2 linked regions of the Arabidopsis thaliana genome follow. The protein of the gene in region 2 interacts with the protein of the main gene of each other region in a pairwise test. Each region holds a gene or a part of one and is shown on either strand. Other genes may lie near its edges.

What was found. The genes of interacting proteins can lie anywhere in the genome.
Region 1: the proteins of AT1G65720 (region 2) and AT1G68380 interact in a protein complementation assay, tested with the Arabidopsis thaliana proteins (one large-scale study listed by BioGRID).

What each region holds. Positions count from the first base shown.
Region 1 is NC_003070.9:25,634,387-25,641,402, reverse strand, and holds AT1G68380 (Core-2/I-branching beta-1,6-N-acetylglucosaminyltransferase family protein), read left to right. Parts: upstream 1-3,940; 5' UTR 3,941-4,009; coding exon 4,010-4,549; intron 4,550-4,831; coding exon 4,832-5,470; 3' UTR 5,471-5,565; downstream 5,566-7,016. Other genes in the region: ARG1 (Chaperone DnaJ-domain superfamily protein), read left to right, coding at 6,876-7,003.
Region 2 is NC_003070.9:24,437,518-24,443,931, reverse strand, and holds AT1G65720 (uncharacterized protein), read left to right. Parts: upstream 1-2,858; 5' UTR 2,859-2,918; coding exon 2,919-3,461; 3' UTR 3,462-4,280; downstream 4,281-6,414. Other genes in the region: YSL7 (YELLOW STRIPE like 7), read right to left, coding at 915-1,293; AT1G65710 (serine/arginine repetitive matrix-like protein), read left to right, coding at 5,508-6,414.

The DNA.
Region 1 (7,016 bases), 1.2 Mb from region 2:
CATGGTTACGTTTACGTGGACACGTTATCATGGAGACAAACTATCCAAGCTTTGAACACCAATTATTTCTGTAGAACCCAATAATCTTAGATGTCTCCAAAACCCAAGAACAATCTGTAGACATTGCTTTCAAATAGCAACACACAAAACCGAACTAGTTAATGATAGTTTAGTCCATGATAAATTGTCCACTTAGACTTGACCATATGGAGTAATGGTGAAACATGACATAGAAATATGACAAACACTGGAACACAAATGGTTCATGTGTAGAGCTTTCATCAATTGTTTTTTTAATGAAAAGAATGTCATTGGTGATGCAAGAATCACAAGTTGGTCAAAACAAATCATCTGTTTTTTTTGCTTATTCAACACATTAGTTCACTTGTATATAGACACTCAAAATATAACATAAATGATCACAAATTCAAGGGAAGAACGTGTCCACAAGTCGTTGTCCACATAGGTATGTTCATTTAACTCTGTTAAGATGATCTTCTTGATTGGATTTTGAGATAAAACGGTAAAGAAGAACGTGTCCAGAAAGTGTTGTCCACAAAGGTCTGTTCATTTAACTCTGTTAAGATGATCTTCTCAATTTGATTTTGAAGTTTTAAAATACAAGTCCAAGTTTGATTTTATATACAAAACATCTCAAAATATAACATAAATGATCACAAATTCAAGGGAAGAACGTGTCGAGAAGTTGTTGTCCACATAGGTTTGTTCATTTAACTCTGTTAAGATGATCTTCTCGATTGGATTTTGAGATAAAAAGGTAAAGAAGAACGTGTCCAGAAATCGTTGTCCAGAAATTGTTGTCCACTGAGGTCTGTTCATTTAACTGTGTTAAGATAATCTTCTCGATTTTGCACCAAATTTTTAACATCTATATCTTAAACACAAATGTAGAATTCAATCTAACATATGTGAATGAAAATTAATTTCAGATCTAAGCTAAAACCTCTATCAATTTCACATAACGAGAACTAGCAACAAGGTTCTTCACTAAGTGAATCAACCATCAAAAAACTTATAAACCGTTTATGATGAACACATAAAATAACCAGATTTTCTGAAAAGATACAACCCAAATATAATCATGAATCAAATTCACAGAACATGAACTAAGCAACGAGTTCCATCAACTAGTGATTCGACCATTACTATCAAACGATTCGAAGTCCACTACGAGGCTTTAATCTCCAATTCAAGAGAATAATCTCGAATATGAAATTGGAAAAGCAAGACAAAGAATCAAAGAGCAAGTAATGAGATTAATTTTGCAACAAACAGCAAAAACATAAAACGAAAACCAAACTGTAAATCCAATTCAAGCATTCAACGAGTCATGTAACTAAATCAGCCAGATAGGACAGATTCTCAAATTGATGGTCTGAAATTTTTTTCCTTCAAGTCAGATCAAAGCACACGCGAAAAATTAAAGAAGGTGAATCTCAATCTCTCTTTCTCATAAAAGCTGATGATTTGTTGAAAAGGAAAGAAAGAAAAAGGTATAAATATATTTTTTTGGCTTGAGTTTTGTTTATTTTTTGAAAGAATAGGTGGATGAGAGAGATAAAGCGATATATGGTTAGAGGGTAAATTGGTCAAATTATACATTCAAAGTGCCTTCTTTTTAGAAAGTGTCTAACCACGGAAATGTTTTTTAAAAAGTGTTTTACAGTGTAATATTCTCAAAAAAAAAATAAGAGCCCTTTAATATAGATATAATTATTTAAATTTAATTTATATCTGTTTTAAGAAAATAATAACTATACATATATATATATATATATATTATAAAATCGACATTAAAAACGTAGTTGTTACTTTTCTTCTAACCATATTTGTTTAAATATACCATAGCTATTTATATATTTACAAAAAAAAAAAAATCATAAAATGGGTTCCAAACCATTACTTCATTTGGCCAGCCATGGGCTCATACGTTATGTTGTGAAGTTCTCGGAATAACAATAAAATTTCAAATTTTAGAAAATACCACTGTTACTAGCCTACTTTCACCTTGTGGATCATTTTGTTAGCTATACATGATACTATTGTTTGTTTATTTTTTACACTCTAGAATTTGTATCATAGCTAGCAAAATGATCACATATATGTTGTTGTAAAGTTCTCGGAAGCAGCCGTGATGGAAAACGCATATTCTCGTATCACTAGTGAACCCAAATGATCACATATTTGTTGTTGTTTTTAACTCAGCCATCATTACCATGCATGAGTCTCGTCTAACATGACGGTTCTGTAACCCAAATGGAATGGAATGCATTTTTCCTACACTACGTCATGACATTCCCAGGGTTGATGCCACTTGTTTGCACAATTATTGTCTCTTCACCCTACAGCTTTCAACAATGTGCAACTACACGTAAATTTGACCAATCAATTTATTTATCAATATTTATATAGTGCAACAAGTAATTTTCTTTTATTTGAACCAAACAAAAAAGTAATATTCTTTCAGTTTAGAATTCGCAAGGTTGACTTCAACTTAGTTTCATATCAACTATAATTATATTCTGTGTATATAGTTAATGTTTGAATACTCTAATGGCTTTGTATGAATGGCCTGATATAACTGTCCCTCGAAAATCTATTACTTAAGTAGAAAATACATAATATATAAAATCTTCAATTTAATTACATAGGTTAAATCCTTTTCACTCACATAGTCTCATGGATCATTTTTTTTTTTTTGCATCCATGGATCTACAGTTTTGTAAGAAGTAAAAGATAAACCATGAAAAAATCCTATATCTGAGTTACATGAGATTAATTTTCTAACAAAAGCTTTAAGCAAATAATGTTTGTCACTTTCATTTGATAAATAAATAAAAAAATACAAAAAGAGATATTTCGTCTAAGAGAAAACATACGAAACCAATTTCAATAGCTCAACTGGTAAAGACTATTAGACAAAGCATGTAGGTCGCCGTTCGATAAAAAAAATTATTTCCCACGTATGTAATTGTTTCTCCAGTTTACCTCTTGATTTAATGTCTACGCGGTTGAATATATTATCTGTAAGAGTTGGTACCATGTCTATTGCATACTATAAACATCGAGTAAATGAAATTCACATCTTTGTTCACTTAGGTTTTTAATAGCAATCTACACGATCCTGCTTTTATGGCTGCGTCATTTTCATTCTTGTAGATAAAGTCACTCCGGTAGTTATAAAAAAAAACAAATTAGGTTTAACTTGTAGTGCTATATATATATATATATATAAGCTTCATATTGTTTTCATTACGATCTTTTTTTTTATATATACAATGAAATTGTTGCAAGCGTTAAGCAATGTAAACGTGGAGGTTTCAAGGATGTCTTGTGAACGATTACCAGAAAATAATGTATATTATTGACAAGGTATGCAATAAACTTATGAGCAAAAACGAAAGAATGATAAATCATATAGGTATAAGGTATATTAATAAGTAAAAGCAATAAACTTAAACATGCGACCAAGAGATAAAAAAAAGTATATAGCGAAACTACAAGTAAAACATTTAAACCACCATCAATATTATATCCACTTATAACAAAGAAATATGATTTTGGGAAAACGAACTTAAAAAAATATATATTGCATGGACATATAGCGAAATAGTTCATTCAAAGACAAAGATTGGTTAGTCTACTCCTATCAATCTTTTTAAAAAAGTAAATTAATATTGATGTAAGGAAATTTGTAATTTTAGTTTAAAGAATTAATGCTAGTGAAAGAGTAGTAATAAGATGCTACGTATATAACCCAATTGACTTTGCTTGGATCATCAAAAAACTGCCTCAAAATGTTATATTCCATTGCGTGTGTATTTTTGTTTTTACGAGTTAATCACTCACGCCACAAGATCTCCACTTTTACTTGCTCTTCTCCACTTTTTAACCTCATTCCAACTAGGAAGTAAGATCCATGTATCTCTTTTTAACCCTTAAAACATTGGAAACAAGAATTCTCTTACACATGTATCGGTAGTTGGAAATGCCGACCCAAAAGGACCAAAACTCACCATTATCTCAAGTGATAGAGCTTCTCAAGAAACTACTCCACCATTTCCACAATCTCCTTTTGTATTTCTTCATCCTCTGGATCGGCGTGATAGTTGGAATCATTGTTTATCCCTCTCTACAAGGATTATCTTCGCCTTCTTCGTTAACCATCCAAAGTGTCTCCCAACTCTTCTTTGTAACCCCTCCTCCTCCTATTCTTTCTCCTTCATTTCAGGACAATGGGCTTGACATGTTTCTGATACCACTGAAGAACATCATGCACGATATGGAAGATAATGAACTTCTGTGGAGAGCTTCAATGGATCCTAAGATCAGGGATTACCCTTATCCTAGAATCCCGAAGGTTGCTTTCATGTTCTTGACTTGGGGACCTTTACCTTTGGCTCCTCTATGGGAAAGGTTCTTTCGAGGTCATGAAGGTCTTTTCACTATCTACGTTCACACCAATTCGTCTTACGACGAGTTCATGCCGCAAGACTCTGTGTTTTATGGCCGCCGTATTCCAAGCAAGGTCAGCTTCCCAAATTATTAAGAAATTTATTTCGATACATTAATAGGTTTGGAATTAACGTGATAAATAAAATTTATAAATATATTATAAATAATATATATATATATATATATATATATATAACGGATCGAAGTACATGAATACGATATTTTTCCTATCTTTTTTAGTAAATTACATAAAAATATAAGAATATTTGGTATCTTAAAAGAAAACATATTAATTATTACACTATAATACATAAAATAAAATCAATCCAATGTCATTAACTATAAACGTATGCAGAGAGTGGATTGGGGAAACGCAAACATGGTAGAAGCAGAACGAAGGTTATTAGCAAACGCTTTATTAGACATCAACAACGAACGTTTCATTCTTCTCTCCGAATCATGCATCCCTCTCTTCAACTTCTCCACAGTTTACTCTTTCCTCATCGACTCCACTCTAACCCACGTCGACTCCTACGACCTCACAATCGGTCGCGTCCGCTATGACCGCCGCATGTATCCTCACATCCGCATGCACCAATGGCGAAAAGGCTCTCAGTGGTTCGAGCTAGACCGAGCCATGGCCCTCGAGGTAGTCTCTGATACGTTCTACTGGCCAATCTTTAAAGCTTACTCTCGCTGCCCCGACGAGCACTATATCCCGACGCTACTCAACATGAGGCCGAGCCTTGGGTTGCGTAACGCGAATAGGACGCTTACTTGGACTGACTGGAGCAAGCGTAGGGCTCACCCGAGATTGTTTGGTGAGTGGGAGGTTAATGTGGAGTTCTTGGAGTGGCTAAGGATGAAGAGTGTTGGTGATTGTAAGAAAAATGGAGAAAATAAGATGAGACTTTGCTTTCTCTTTGCTCGCAAGTTTTCGTCGACTGCTTTGGATGAGTTACTCCGGTTAGCATCTATCGTCATGTATTTCTGATCACTCTCTTCCCCCTTCGTCCAAAAACAAAGATGCAATCGGTTTAACTACCAAATCTTCTTTAAGTAAGTGAAATATACAGTGTGTGCTTAACAAGTTACTTTCAGTACTAGGGATGTGAGATTAATCAAAGTCCTTGATAAAGTTAGGAACTAGCCTGTCATCAAGTTATAAACAGAAGATAACTTGAGAAACATTGAGAAAACACAAAAGCCTGACCCCCCAATCTCATTTGGTTTAGTCCTCCATTAGCATTTATGAGAAGGTATCCATTCATATTAGCACCTAACTCTGCAGACAATGTATACTCATATGGTAAGAACTTATAGAAGAGAAAAATAGGAAAAGAAAAAAAAGAACAAATTGCTACTAATAGGACTAAAAGTTTTGCCTAGACACCTGAATACTCAAAGAAGAATAAAGTCATGTCAGATATTTAATCTCCTTCTCCCATCTTCTTAAGCGAGATAGAAACTAAGCCACAAATGTTTAACCAAAGAAACACTTGAAAACACTACTACCACCAAGAAATGTGAAGAAGATCTTAATTAAGCAGCTCAATACACATCCATTTTTGGGCAACACTCAAAACGCAATTTATCAAGTTGTAGAAACAGAAACAAAGGCTAAACCACATATAAACAAGACCTTCTCAAGCCAAAAGTCGTAAATGTTCGACAAGAGAAACACTATTAGTAACAGAAATGTGAAGATTTTATCTTAATCAAGCATGTTCTAGTATGAGAAACACCTAAAAAGATAGCACAAAAAGCAAGAACCTAATGAGAAGCACCACCACCAATGGCAAAATTTTCTATACAATTGTTGATTTTTTCCCCATTTACATATTGATTATTCCATTTTGCTATATTTAGTTTTTTTTTTTTTTTTTTTTTATTCATTCAAATTCAATTTTACATATATTTATGTGACCCAAAACATAATTCCAATTCATTTTCTACAAAAATTCAATTTTTGACTTACCATATCACAAATGATATTATTAAAATAATATCAATAATAATATAATCACTCTTATAATAAAACTTCGTAATGGCCACAAAAAAATCAGTAATTTTCGATTTCCTTAAAAAGTCATCGAATTAAATATGAAAAATCAACGAGTTAGTTTGTCCAAAACGAATAAAATAAATTTAATAGTACCTTTTATTTTTTCGGAAACCCTTGTTTCGTTTTTTTTCCTCGATCTTCTTCTTCCCCAATCTCTCTTATTTTGTGAGCTTTTTAGATCCTCCTTTCTTCATCGTTTCTTTTCCGAGGTTTCAAATTCGTTCAATTTCTCGATTGAAGATACCTGAAATCGCGTTATTCTAGGTCCGCCGCTGTTGGATCTGCAAATTCCCCTTCGAATTTGAACATTTGTGATTTCAAATTCTTCGAGAAGATGAGCGCGAAAAAGCTTGAAGGTTCGTCGGCTCCGGCGAATCGACGGGATCCGTACGAGGTCCTTTGTGTATCAAAGGACGCTAATGATCAAGAAATCAAATCCGCTTACAGAAAATTAGCTCTCAAGTAAGCCAAAATT
Region 2 (6,414 bases):
TGACGTCATAACGAATCACGTGAGAATCAAAAATAGTGGTTTCCTTGGAATTTCAATCTCTCCATGCATTAAGTATGTGTACACGATGAGTGGTGATGTCTGTTTCAAATCTCGAAAATAGTTCCAAATATTAAATTCTCAAGACAACACCATTTAATTAAAAATATGAAAGTCATAATTATCCTCTAAAAAATTGTGATTCTCACTTTAGTTTACCAATCTTATCCCATGCAAAGTAAGAAGTCAAACGATAGTGGATTAGTTTTTTTTTTTTTTTGTTAATATAATCTCTAACGTAAGTATCCAGAAAAATAACAGCTAATTCTAGTCTACTATAAATAAAAAGTTGAAGCTCCTAATTAAGTGCCGTAATCAACTAATCATATGCTAAAACATCATTGACTTAGACCTAAATACGAATCTCACGCGTCATGTTCTCTATCAACTTGCCGTGTAGATATGGTTCTTATTTTATAACAAAAAAAAAAGTCATACACATTGCTCTCGGATATGAATCTCTCACGTCACTCACTAATCAACTTTGATTTTGACATACTAAAGAAAGTATGAAGTATCCACTTGATTTTGACATACTGCAAAGAAGTATCAAACCCATACACATTTATTTTTATCAAAAAAGATCGTGTGATATTAGTTTCCTAGTCTAGGTTTTAACTTGATCGGTTTTAATTTTTTAACTATTGCACATATTATATTTTTTAAACAACTATATAGTTTATTTAATTTTCATATTTTTTTTTAGAAAGCGATAAACACAAAAAAGAAGTATATACTCTGTCATTTTCAATAGAGACCTAACAGCAAAAAAGTTTTAGCCGTAAATAGAAACAAAATTAAAGACGGCGACACCAAATTCCATCGACGCGTTCACATCAACAAACAAAAAAACGTACCGCTAAAGGCGATGCCGGAGGAGGCGACGACACAAGTCTGAATCACAGTATTCTCTTGCCGTGTAAACGGTTGTTTAAGAAAACCAGCTTTATTAAGAATCTTAGTCCAACTTTTAACAAAGAAGAAACCAAGCAAACCGGCGGAGATATTCAGCGACGGAATAATCCCAGTCGTTAGATTCAGTTTCATCACCACAAAGGTAAAGAGAATCGCGAGTATGAAACTCACGATTAGAGCTCTGAACGTGAGCTGTTTTTGCCACGGCGGTGGGATTTCGTTACTCTCTTCGAAGATTCTCTCCACGGAGATTTCTTCTTCTTCGTTGGATTTAGATCCATTGTTTAGATCGTCGTCTTTCTTCGATCGTTCGACTTCCATAGCTGAGAGTTTTTGATTTGATTTGAGTCAGATCTGAGGAGGGGAACGAGAGAGGGAGAGATTTTATAGAGGAGAGGATCTGAAGAGAAGAGATCGGCGAGAGAAGAGGACGATTTTCTTGTAACTGAATGATTCTCTCTATTGTGTGAGTGAGAGAGAGAAGCGAATCTGTTTTAATATTTCTATATTTATAAGTCAAATGTGTTTTTTTTATAAATAATTAACCTACGTGCACGTGGACTATGGTGTGGTGTGTATACACAGTGTAAAATCTGAGTTTTTTCTTTGGTGTGGATTTAGAGTTAATTAAATTGATACGTAAATGGATTTTGGAATTTAGATTATGACATGTTTACGTGTTAAACGAGCCAATTATGACGGGTCGTAGATTGTATTAATCTTAACAGAATTAAGTTTTAGTTGCAAATGTGTTTTTTTGAAAAGAATTAAAATATTAAAATGAAAATACACGTAAATATTGTTTGAACATTTGATTTCAGAACAATAGTCGTTTATATAGTGAGTTGTTCTTCAAATTACTTTTAATTTCGGAGTACTTAACTATTAACCAATATTTTTTATAATTAAAGATTACAAGGGAATTTTACTTTTTCTACCACAATTTTCCCAAAAAAAAAATATTTCTATCGCTTTTCAATAGTACCAAATTATTTATGTGGAAAGACCAAAAAAAATAAAAACTATGTGTCCAAACGTTTACACCGATTTGACATTTTCATTTTTATGTTCTCTCACTACATTGTTAAAGACTCTAAACGTGAGCTGGCTTTGCCACGAAGGATGATCCTCATGGGCTCATGGCTGGCCTCAAAGATTCTATCATGTCATGTCGTGGCATTTGAGATCGTCATTTTTTTCCTTTATCGCTCTGTGACCGCTGCTAAATTTAAGTCTAACCTAGCTCTTTGTTTACAAGAAAGGAGAGGATTATTTTAAATAAGAGAAAAGTTGGAATATTCGAAAGTGTCGTGCTCTTATTCTATGGTACGAGACTATGAGTGACTAGATAGAATTTTCATTTAGATTCTCTAACCATAATAATTAGGTAAAAAAATCTTAGCTATTAATATTGACTAATAAATATAAAATGTGAAAGTTTGACTATACTATATTAATAAACAAATGGTTAACTTGATATTGACCATGAATGCATCATTAACTTGCTTAGAATAACAAAAATCTTATGAATTTATAACTACTAGAAGTTTGATTATATGCGAGGTGGGTTCAGACTATTCACATATTACACAAACTATTTGTGGTATTAGAACTTGTATAACTTGGACAAAATTCATATCAATTAACAATTAACCTATTGAAAATTAGATAAATAGAGAAATAAATCTATTGTTTGCTTATGTGAGTATAAATAATGAGATTTAGACTTAAAATAGTTAAGTCAAAATTAAATAATATTTTGGCACCTTTTATAAGAAAAGAAGATAAAAGGGACCTATATGATCAAATACAAAAGTAGAGGGGTTATTTCATAATAACACGTATCTTAGAAAATCTTTTTAATCTTCTTCGTTCACCGAATCTTCTTGGGTTAGGTTTGTCTTCAAAATCGTCAGAAGAAGAAGAAGAAGTCAAAGACGATAACAATGACGTCATCATCGTACCTCCGATTTGCGATCGCCGTCGTAGCTTTCCTCTCAATCACCACCATCACCACCGCACGTCCTTGCAAAACCTTCCTAATCTCCTCATATTCCCTCTCAATAACCCCAGAAAACCCTAACCTCGAATCCGATTTCACCTCCACACGATTCGTCACCGTTTTCACAATCCGTCGTCTAAATCCTCACCACGTGGTTCCTTTCTTCGTCAATCGTCGTCACGAGAAGCCACAGATCCAATCGGATCGTTCCCTCCCTTTGATCTCTGATAACATCAATTCGTTTAGAGATCGAACCAGAGATATTCTTAGCGTCGTCGTCGCGCTTTTGTTCGGTGTTGGTTGTGGTGCTTTAACCGCTGCTACTATGTATCTTGTTTGGGCTCTTGTTGTGAATCGTCAAAGCTATGATTTTGAGGAAGAAGAAGATGATTATGAGAATGATGAATCTGATGCTGCTAGCTTGAAGAAATTGGGTTATGTTAAGATTCCAGCTCCAGCTCCTGCTCCTGTGAAGGAAGCTGCTTGATTTGAGGTTGTGAATTTCAGTTTCTGCATATTATCATGATTTACGTTGTTGCTTATCTATGTTGTTGCGTACAAGTAAATTCGTCTCTGTTATGGATTTATCTAAACTTACTATACTCTAAGTATCAGTGTTTTTACGATTTGTAGTTGATGTTTCTTAGATATATATAAGTGTGATTATGATGTTACCTATGGATTTATTCATTATCTTTGATACCAATGTGACTAGTTTAGGAGCTTAATACTTAAATGGATTGATCATCAAAGGAACCAAGGTCGTGACTCGAGAAGTCTGTTTCTTGTTTTCTTTCTGACTTGCTAGAACCTAACTTGGTCGCAGGATATGTGTATGGTTCTCATAGCCCCATTTTGTGGTTTAATAGCTTTCATTCTTTCAAGCACTGATTAGCTAGAACCTAAGTAGGTCGCAGGATATGTGTCTGATTCTCGTTAACCAATCTGTGTTTTGAACAGCCTTCAAGCATTGGGAGTGTCTAGTTTTCTATTGCTTATGGTCATATGTGTGTATGGTTCTCATTGCCCCATTTTGTTGTTTAATAGCTTTCAAGCATTGCATACTTAAGGTAGTGTCTAGTTTCGGTTCCGTTTCTTGTAATCTTACTGACTAGCTAGTAGCTAGACTTTTTAAGTAGGTAGCAGGATATGGGGATGACTCTGGTTGACCCCAATCTGAGTTTTGCATAGCTTTCAGAGCATTGAGAGTGTCTAGGTTCTATTGCTTATGGTCATCTGTATATATGGTTCTTATTGCCCCATTTTGTGGTTTAATAGCTTTCAAGCATTGTGAACTTTAGGCAGTGTCTAGTTTCTGTTCTGTTTCTTGTTATATTTCTGACTACCTAGTAGGTAGACCCTTTTAAGTAGGTCGCAGGATATGTGGATGATTCTCATTGATACTAATTTCTGATTTGCATAGCTTTCAAAGCATTGAGAGTCTCTAGTTTCTATTGCTAATGGTCATCGTTGTGTATGTATATAGCTTAAAGGTTGATGTCTTGGATGCAGAGGAACAATTAAGTGCCTTATTCTCTCTAGTCTAGTAGTTATTTGCCTTGTAACAATCCTTTGTTATGTTACTATTTGATTTGAGGTTGTTTTATGTATGTAAAATCCAGTACCTAATTGTCTTGGTAATAGAATCTATAGATGTCTCAAAATCGGTCCGATTTTCGATTGTCAACACAAATGGTGCAAGATTTTGCTTTCTACATATATACTCTTTTCTTAAAAAACTACCTCAAAAGAACCTAATTGTCTTGGTACTCTTTTCTTAAAAAACTACATATATATTCAAAAAAACTACCTCAAAAGAAATTGTTTATCGTTTCTTTTTCAGTATTTTAGTTATCTGATAAAATAAAATAAAATTGTTTTTGGGTCCTCCACTATACATATGAAGAAACTTGCACATCACCATTCAGTTTGGTCACATGAGTTAATATTAATGAAAGCACTCGATTAACAACAAATATCATTAATCAAACTCAGTAAATTATTTATACATAAAACGAAATTTTATTTTCAATAGAAACTACTGATGTTTATTTCTTCATATCCTAATTTGTAACCTCATATTCTTTTGGTAAACAAACAAAACCATCAAACATGCAAATAACCGTTGGAATTCTAAAACTTATTAAAAGAATTTTTGAAGAGAACCATTTTGCTTTGAAAAAGGCAAAAAGGGTCAGAGATAATACGACATTGACTGCAGTGTGTATAACGGCTCCAATTTCAAAATTACTATCTTTAATAAAATAAATTAATTCCACTTTGACCCCATTATTCTTCAAAGCTTACAATTTCACCCGACTTTTCTTAATTTTAGAAAGTAATGGGTCCTATCCGAATACTTTCTGAAATAAAAGAACTTTTGTCTGTCACAAATCGCATTACCAAACAAAAAAGTTTGAAGTTTTGAATCTTTTTGTCTTCTTACACAAAAGACATTCCCCTAAAAACTCTCTTGTTCTTGACTCACTTCTACTTCAAAATCTCTCTGTTCTTCAAAATTCTTTGTCACAAAATGGGTTGCTGTCTCAGCAAGAAACCTTCCCCTTCTCTTCCCTCTAGTGTTAAACCCTCAGATCCAATCAAACCCATGGAACCAGTGATTGAGCCTTTGGAGGAAGAAGCAAAACCCAAATCTGAGAAACTGAATCAAGAAGAAGAAGAAGAAGAAGTTGTGGTGATAAAACACACAAGAAGCCATGAAGAGAGATCCAAGAAGACAGAATCAGATAAAGATTCTCCAGTTTCTTCTCCTGTGGCGGCTGAGAAATCGAATTCTACACCGCTTGTGAGAATCTCTAGCTGTACTAAAGAAGAAGTTGATGCTATATTGATACAATGTGGGAAGCTAAGTAGAAGCAACTCTGCTGCTAAAACAAGAAGATACTCTGGTTCTAAAAGAAGCTTTGATTTTGACCAGAACGAGAGAATCCGCGGCGGCGATGCGGCGGAGGAAGACGGAATGCAGCGAAATCGTCACCGTGGAGTAGAGAGAGTGCATGGTTCGCCTCGTGAACGGAGAAGACGAACTCCGAGTAGAGAAAGAGAAAGATCGGGAAGCAGAGAAAGAGGAAATGTCGGCGGTGGCGGCGGTGGTAGTAGGAGAGTGAGTAGATCTCCGGCGAAACGTTCTGAGATTCGTAACGCTGATTCGTGTGGCAGTTCGGTAAATTCGAGTAATAATAGACCGGGAAAGTTTGTTACGATTCCTGCAACGGATAAGAGTAACAATGTAGAGCCGTTAGTAAAACGGATTACGGTTAAGAGAAACATCGGAGACGCTTGCAGAATAGCGGCGTCTCCGAGGTCAAAATCTCCGGCTAGAGCGGGGAATAATGTTCCCTCGCTAAGCCGGAGTAATTCAAGAAAGGCGGAACAATCTCCCTATAGAAGAAATCCATTGGGAGAGATTGATCAAAACA